Neurospora crassa OR74A: one gene and its partner. The protein of the gene in region 2 interacts with the protein of the main gene of each other region in a pairwise test. Links are inferred from orthologs where the notes say so. Each region holds a gene or a part of one and is shown on either strand. Other genes may lie near its edges.

The links.
Region 1: the proteins of NCU05972 (region 2) and NCU01370 interact in a two-hybrid assay, tested with the Saccharomyces cerevisiae proteins (3 studies listed by BioGRID). The link is inferred for Neurospora crassa OR74A from reciprocal best matches to the Saccharomyces cerevisiae genes DBF4 and ORC2.

What each region holds. Positions count from the first base shown.
Region 1 is NC_026505.1:3,801,279-3,805,406, forward strand, and holds NCU01370 (hypothetical protein), read right to left. Parts: upstream 2,747-4,128; 5' UTR 2,620-2,746; coding exon 923-2,619; intron 839-922; coding exon 724-838; 3' UTR 501-723; downstream 1-500. Other genes in the region: NCU01371 (UPF0660 protein, variant), read left to right, coding at 3,018-3,251, 3,308-3,646, 3,713-3,796. UniProt on the Saccharomyces cerevisiae protein: Component of the origin recognition complex (ORC) that binds origins of replication. It has a role in both chromosomal replication and mating type transcriptional silencing. Binds to the ARS consensus sequence (ACS) of origins of replication.
Region 2 is NC_026506.1:3,250,926-3,254,969, forward strand, and holds the start of NCU05972 (sporulation-specific protein 6), read right to left. Parts: upstream 2,801-4,044; 5' UTR 2,101-2,800; coding exon 1,525-2,100; intron 1,458-1,524; coding exon 51-1,457; intron 1-50. Other genes in the region: NCU05971 (xaa-Pro dipeptidase), read left to right, coding at 3,490-4,044. UniProt on the Saccharomyces cerevisiae protein: Regulatory subunit of the CDC7-DBF4 kinase, also called DBF4-dependent kinase (DDK), which is involved in cell cycle regulation of premitotic and premeiotic chromosome replication and in chromosome segregation.

The DNA of each region.
Region 1 (4,128 bases), on a different chromosome or scaffold from region 2:
GTGCGTCCTTCTTGGGTTCTTAATTGGGTTTGAACGGGCACGGGGCAAAAGCTTAAAAGGGCATCTGCGAATGGGCTAATCAAAAAGGAGAGTGTTAAACGGGCAGAGGCCTGGGAAGGGGAGGTGTTCTTTTGCACAATGTTTGTTTTTTCCCTGGACATAGTTTGGGATTTGGGCTTGGTTTATACGGTTGAACCAAGATCGAAGCTCGGGCATTTGGGAAAAGTTCCCCGGACATGGCGGCTGCTTGTTTTTGTCTCCTTGGCATCCGTGGCGCGCGAGACGGAATTGTCTGAACTGAGGAATCCAATCAAAAACATTTCAACTTCGTTATACTCTTGATGTCTTTTGTGCTCGATGACTCGTGATTCGATGTGTGTGTGTGTGTGTGTGTGTGTGTGTGGCCAAACAAAGTAGTGGACTAGGTCCTTTCGGTAATCGAGTACCTATCATGAGAGCATGGCATGACAAGCAAAACATCGAAGTGGCAAGTATACATTTTCGACTTTGTAATTATCGTAAGACTTGAGCTATTGATGTTCTGCGGTGAGCTTTCCAGGATTTTGGATATGTTAAGACTATGATATGATGTGTAGGCTTCCATTCCAACACATGTGGTGGGTGTTGCCGTGTGTATGATAACTTCCAGGTCAAATCTGTGTGTGTCCCATTCATCTCGATTCAAAACTTAGCATTGTCATGATACATCGTCGTCAATCATCACTACGACATCAACTCCTCCAGGATAGACTCCAGCTCCTCTTTCCTAAAAGGTAAGCTCAAGTATTCCGTCCCTATCGAGTCCTTGTGACTCGTAATGATTTGATGATCGTGGAATCTGTTTCCGTTCTGTTAGCCGTTGTCCCTTTAAAACCAAGAAAATCATCTCCACAGCCAAGTCACAACAGAGGGAAGAACATACTCCTTTAGCAGCGTCCTAAACGCCATTTCCGAACTGCAAATAAACTCCTCCACAGCCTTGTTGTAAAGCATCCTATACTCTACCCCCGGCCCTTCTCCTCCCGCTGCAAAGTCTCCTGCCCCTGATGTACCACCACCACCACCACCACCGTCCTCAAAAGCCACCAAAACCTCCCCCACAATCAGCCCAAACAATTTCCTCGCGTTCTCGGGTAAACTCCGCAACACAAACGCCACTCCTTCCTTGCCACCCGCTCTCTTGCCCATCCTACCCAGTAACTCGTGTACTTCGTCTACTACGTCCAACTCTTTGCTGTGGTCTGCAAAAGTGGTGCAGTCGTGAAATGCAAAGTTGAACGAGGAGCGTAAGCTAGAGTCCCAGAGCAGAGGGAAGTCGGGCGTGTCGACTGTGCAAGCGAGAGAGATGGCTGGGTGTGAGGAGAGATGGGCGAGGAGGGATTGCGTTTGGGGTTTGCGGAGGGGGGAGAAGGGGGAGTCGAGGGAGGCTAGGAGGAGGGTGATTCTTGGCTTTTGAGCAAAAGAGGAGAGGAGGGTGAAGAGGTTTTGGATCATGGCGAGCGGGTTTCCGGAGGGTAGGCGGAAGGTGGGGTCGATGGCGGCCGAGATGGTGGTGAGGATCTCGCGGAAGGTGAGGGTGCGGGTGTGCCCGTTGATCATGATGATTGTTGTGTTGTTTGTGTCATTACCGCCGGAGGAGGAGAAGAGGTACTCGGCGAATTGGTGCAAAAGTCGACGCTTGGAGCCGTAGCCGTAGAGGCAGACGCTGAAGCCTTGGGAGAGCTCAAAGGCCCATTGGGGGAAGGAGGCGGCGTGTTGCGACTGGAGGGCATCGATATGTTTTTCGTGGGGGTCCTGACCCAGGTTGCGGAGAAGCGAGAAGTATTCTTCGTGGATGAGGAGGTCGAGCGAGGAGAGCGTGTTGTTCGAGGTTTTGTTGGATCCCGGCTTGTTCTGGTAAAAGTATTGTTCATGGGGAGGGAGGTCTCGGGGTGGTGTGGGCGATTTCTTTCGTCGTGCTAAACCGGGGGGTCTGCCTCCTCGTCCTCTCCCCCTCCCTGTCTTGGATGGAGTGGTTGCTGCTAACTCGGCCTCTTGGTCGGCGAGGTTTTCTTGTTGGGTGTCCCCTTCCTCTTCTTCCTCGCTTGACTCGTAGATCTCTCGTGCGATTTGTTGCTCTTCGTCCTCGTCATCGCTTACGGCGCCCTCCAGCACACGGTCGATGAGAGCCCTGGCACTCTTCCGTCTAGCCGATCGGTCGGCAATTCCTCGCCTGCCGGGTGTGTCGACGCCACTGATTCCTTTGAGCTTGATCGGTGTCTCGTCGACTTGTTTCTTGCGCAGGGCGGATGGTGTGCTCGGCTTGCCACTTGGTGTTCCTCCCGTCTTGGCCTTCGGTGGTCGCCCTATCCTTTTCTTGCTGGGTGTCTGCTCGGTAGGTGACTCGGGTTCTTCTGGCACAGAGGCTAGGTCGCGCTGGAGGAAATCGACCTGTTTCCGCGGGGTGGCGTTTCGCTTTGAAGGTGTTCCTCCATCTTCTGGTTGTCGCCGTTGACGCTTTGCGGAGGGAACCGCATCATCCTCATCTGGAACTTCGTAGGGGTCGGCAGGGAGTGGCCGCTTTCGAGAGGGGCGTTCGACTAGATCGTGCTGATCTGTTGATTTCCGACGAGGAGGCATACCGTTTGTGTTATTGGCTTTGGTTTATGTTGTCCAAGTTGTATGGCATGCCTTGGAGTCCCGCTGTACCTTTACCCTACCTCTGCAATTCGAAGTCTACGGGAAACTTTTGTAAAGTCAAGACGCGCTCGCTTAATTGAGACGCGTTAAGCTGTACATACGCCCGGGATGACGCTACCTACCTCTAGATGGGAAGACAGCAGGTACCTGCTAGAGAGTACCTGCGGGTAGCAGGGTTCGCTGCCTACTAACGGGGGCAAGCCAAGCCCCTGTCTACCACCACATACGCTACCTCTAGGTACTTCGCGGGAGGGTTATAGGTGGGAGAGTTCATAGGCTTTCTTGCAACCTCATGTCATCTCAACCAAACAAACTCCAAGAGGACTATCGCGACCAATATGTCAAAGCTCAATCTCAATTTGTCTGCCTCATTGAACATTTTCAAGCTTATCGCCAAGCCTTCACTATGTCTGCCCCACGCTACAGTTCCAACGTTCAACGACCTGCCCATCCCTCTTAACAAAGCCTTCTCCGGCAATGGCGAGAAGAAGGTTGACATAAAGGCTGTCGTGCTCGACAAAGATGACTGCTTTGCCTATCCTGATCACAATGAAGTGTATGAGGCTTACAAGGTGGGTTGTCTCTCGTCCCAATTCCATTCAGGAACGCTTTGACTGATTAAGCCAAGGAACGCATGGAGGCTCTACGAGCAGCATACCCAGGACGCCGTCTTCTGATCGTTTCCAACACTGCTGGTGCCCTAAGCTGGGACAAGGACGGCCAGATGGCATCCGCAGTTGAAAAGGCCACCGGCATCACTGTTCTCCCCCATGGTGTGAAAAAGCCAGGCTGTGGAGACGAGATCATGTCCTACTTCCGTGCCCACCCGGAAACCGGTGTCACCAGTCCTCACCAGATCGCCGTCGTGGGAGACCGACTGGCCACTGACATGATGCTTGCCAACATGATGGGCAGCTATGGTATTTGGATCAAGGATGGAGTTGTTCCCCACCAGCAGAAGAGCATCGTAAGTGAAACCCTGCAACCAAGCTGCGTGATAAGCCAAAGTCTTTTGCTGACTGGGATATGATAGTGGTCGAGAGTTGAGAGGACTGTTGCGCCCTTCCTTGTATCCCGTGGTTATACCGCTCCTGAGCCAGTGAGCCCCTTTGAGTAACTGCATTTTGTGCTTCTCCAGGGAAAGAAGACAGCGTGTAGTAATGTATGTTTTCTGCATATCCCCAGTAGCTGAGGTGGGTTCTTCTTTTCTTTCGCATCTGTGCCCCATTCTCTTTAATTGTTCCGACGTCGTTGTTCTCCTCTACGTTGTGGTTGTGCCCTTTCCCGATGTCTTGCTCGTTGTGTCCATTGCCTACGAAACATGTTTCTTGTCTCGCTTAATAGTGGTTTCTGGCGCGAGGGAAACAGGCGTGCTTCAGATTTTCCTCTCAGCTGCCGGGCCTGTCTTTCCGTCTGTCTGCGCGATTATCAGAGTTCTCGAGCAACGTT
Region 2 (4,044 bases):
ACCGTCATGTTAGTAAGCGTCATAGTATGCCTGATATTGAGGAAACTCACCGCATCAAAGTCCTCGAACTTATCTTGACAGTTTTCGCAGTAACCCGGCTTGGGATCGCGCGGCTTCGGCTTTGTCTGGGGGACGGGTGTGCTCGCGGTCCTGCGCAATTTTCTCTCCTTCTTGGCCTGCTCCTGCTTCCGAGCTTCATCGTCCTCCCAGATACCAGGCATCGGGGGTTTGGCCGGATTACCCAAGCTGGCGGCACGAGTGCACTGGGCGGCATCCACACCAATCTCGGCCAAGCGACGAACACCAGAGTCTTGCGAAAGAGAAGGACCACCAGCTTTCTGAAGAACCTTGCGCTGAAGACCCAAAACTTCCTTGCTGATACCGGCCTTGGCGCCAAGGACACCGGTGGTGGACGACACCATCTGAGAGCGAATGGCGGATGTGAGCTTGTTGGCCTGGATGCCAGAAGCGACGGGCTCTCCGGCTACCAAACGGCCAACTTTGGTGGTATGGCTCATAAAGGCATTCTGCGAACGGAAATCGACCGAAGGGGTGGGCTCCTTGGCTGACTCGACGGTTTCGGGGGCATCATCAACAACTTCGGTTGCACGGTCGTTGGGTGCTTCCATCTCCTTAAGAGTACGCTTTCCCGTAACCGGCTTGGGTGATGGTACCTCGGGGGGCTGGAGGGTCTTGGTAGCCTTCTCGGTAGCGGCGGCGGCATCTGCAGCTTTGACAACTTTCTCCTTGGTCTGAGTCTTTTCCCGCCTCGTCCTTTCAGGGGGATCATAATCCTCAACAAATGGGCAACGGCCCTGGGATGCCACACGGAACTGAGGCCATTCGCCGTCCTTCTTGTCGGCAACTCTGTGGTACTCCCTCACCATGATCGGCCTCGTCTTCTCCTCAATGTCGTACACATAAATGTAGGGGCCCTTGAAGTAGTGGATGTCCTTGGTAACAACGGTGGGATCGCGATCGGAGGGGCCGTGAACACGCTCATTCTGGAGCATTTGGAGTACATTCGCAGTCTGCTGGCGAGCCTTGGCCCTATCCGCGGCTGCTGGTGTGTGGCCTCGGCCCAACAATGCCGCCTTGTACAAGTCCGTTTCAAGGACCATGCCGAGAATCCTCTGGAGTTTGTCAAGCGACCAGATCTTCTTGCCCATGTCCCGCGCACGGTGCAGGATGTCGGTGCTGCGTGCTTTCGGCTTCGGCATCGTCTCTTCCTGGGGCTGCACAGAGGATTTCCGGAGTGAGGGCTTGTCGAAAATGAGTTTGCGTCGGACCGAGTCGCCATTGCGGTTCAGGAGAGAGGGATCGATTGTCTTTGGCTGTTCACTTGTCGATTGCGTGTTGGTAACGGGCTGGTTCTCGTCCTGGACTGGCTTTACAGGGGGGATAGGACGGGTGGTGACGACATGGGTGATTTCGATGGAAAAGAACTTTTCCTCGCGCTGTGACCGAAGTGTAAGTATAAGCCGAGCGGTTGGGCCTGCATTGGGCAAGGGGTCGTTGACTTACAGCGCCCAATTGAGCGACTTGTTTGGCGAGCTTGTGACGTTGCTCGTCGGGAATGCTCTCAAAGTAGAAGACCATCTTGTGAAAGCGAGATCTCATAGAGGTTTGCCATATACTAAGGTCTTCAAGTTCCTTTGCGGTGATGCGGTCGGTCGTCGTGGTGGTGGAGGTGGTGGTGGTGGTGGTGGAGGCGGCATACAACCTCTCGGCACGGGTGGTGGTGCTGGTAGCCACGGTGGTGCCTGATCTAGAAGAAGCCCTTTCAGGCCGTTCCCGATCAATGGGCCGGGATATGGTCGAGGCCTTGCGCGTGATATTGGACACATTGGACCGGGAGCTCGTCGGCGAGGCGGCGGCGCGTTGACCGCCATGTTCAATCATCTGTCTCTTGGCCGGCGGTGGTTGACCGTATGGCTCCTCTCTAAGCTGATCGGCATGGGAGCGGACGGCGGCCTTTTTAGAGCCCTGTAGTGCCAAGGCGGTAGCCGAGGACCCACGCAGCGGCGAGTTGGCGGCATTGGGGTTGTCGGAGAGAGGAGCCCTCTTGGTGCCCGCGGCAGTGGTGGTGGTTGACGACATTGCTGTGGGATGTCGATCTAGCGATACTGTTGTCTTGTAAAATATCCAGTCAACATGCTATGGGTGTGGTGTTGTTTCTGTTTGTTCCGAAACGCCGGCTCGGGGATGGTAAGGGAGGGAGACAGTTTCCGGGCTGTCTGTCTGGTCGCGTGCTGGTACTAGCTTGGAGTTTGGGTAGGGGGACCCCGGATAACTATGGTACACCAAGAATCAAGTCGTGTGCTGAGTGCCGACTCGACAGACAAGACAAAGTGGTTTAGGCTCGGTGATCGATGGTGTCGATGGTCGAACAATGGCCCAATGCGGTCGGACAATTATTCGTCGTCGATCGTTGGTCGTTGGCTGGGAAGGAGCAAGGAAGCACTCGACCCTGGCCTGGGCGCAAAACAACTAAAGTGAGGCGGTTGGTGGTGGAGGTTGGGGCACAGTTGTCTGTTCTTCCAAAAACGCGTCTCTCGATTTTTGTCGCTGGAGGTTTTGGCTCCGTCGTCGCAGTGGCACGCGCTGAGCTCCGGTGACGGGAAGGAAGAAGGGACCGTTGTTGAACAAAACTAAGGAAACGGCTAAGGCCAATTGGATGATCTGCGCAAACCTTCCAATGTCGAATCGCGCCCGAAGTCAGTCGACGCCCGGTGCGAACAGGCCAAGATCCAATGTTCTGGTGTTGGTGGGTGGTCAAAAAACCTTTGTGTAATCAAAGTGTTTGGTTTTGATAATGACAGTCGCGACAGCAGGGTCCAGCAGGCCAAACCTCTAGGCAATGTGGGGGGGGGGGGGGGGGGAGTGCAGGCGCCCGGCCCGGGATGCTTGCACTGGCTGCCCTACACTGAAAAGCGCTGACAATGAAAATGCACCCACGCCTGGCAGCTGTGGTTTGTTGTTGCTGTCAGGTCGTGCTGGGGAATGCCAACAGCGGCTCCACATCCGCGGCTTGCAGCTGGCAGGCAGCATTTGATGCCCGGGCAGCGAGACCTGGACTCTTGGCAGTCCAGTGAAGCGCCTGGCAACTGTCAGCATTCATTTGAGCAAAAGTGAGAATGATAAAGTGACGAGATCCCATGTCTTTACCTTTACGAAACATACCTACCTATGAACCGACCTCTTGTCCGTCGCGAAGCAATTCAACTTCATTTCTCGCCGTACCTTGTTGCTTGGGGAATCTGGAGGTTGGTAAAGGTTGAGATTCCGACAACCCCATGATCAGTTTGTAGCTAGACTTTAGGTGCCGGTAGTCCTAGTAAAATACGTATCATCAACATTGCGAGCCATCCCAAACCAAGTTCACCTACGCCACCAACCCGGCGAGCCGAGGTGAACTCACACCTCGTTCTCACCTAACCACCACATTCCTTCCCCTCATCACCCTTTGACAACCACCCTTTATTTGACATGAAGCTTCCCCAAGCCGTCCTGCGGCAATGTTCTCGACACTTGCGCGCTCAGAATAACTGGCCTCTCCAACCACGTCTCCAATCTGCCAAGTCCATCCTCCCCGCATCTCACCCAAGCTCACCACCATCAACACCATGGCGCCCATCCCGGACATACGCAACGACGACGACGACGACGACAACAGTCTCAGCCGCCGACCTCGAATTCGGCCAGCCCGTCTACGAAACGCACCCCCACATCCTGCAACCGGGTGAACTAACCCCCGGCATCACGGCCCAAGAATATCACGAGCGACGTTCCAAGCTCGCCTTCGCACTTCCCGAAAACGGCATCGCCATTCTCGCCTCCTCGGAACTCAAATACCGCTCCGGCGCCGTCTTCTTCCCCTTCCGACAGGACTCCAACTTTCTGTATCTCACCGGATTCTCCGAGCCCGACTCGCTGGCCATCATCCAAAAGACGGGTCCCAAACCAGGCGACTACGTCTTCCACCTCTTCTGCCGGCCCAAAGACCCGCGCGCCGAGCAATGGTCCGGCCCCTGGTCCGGGCTG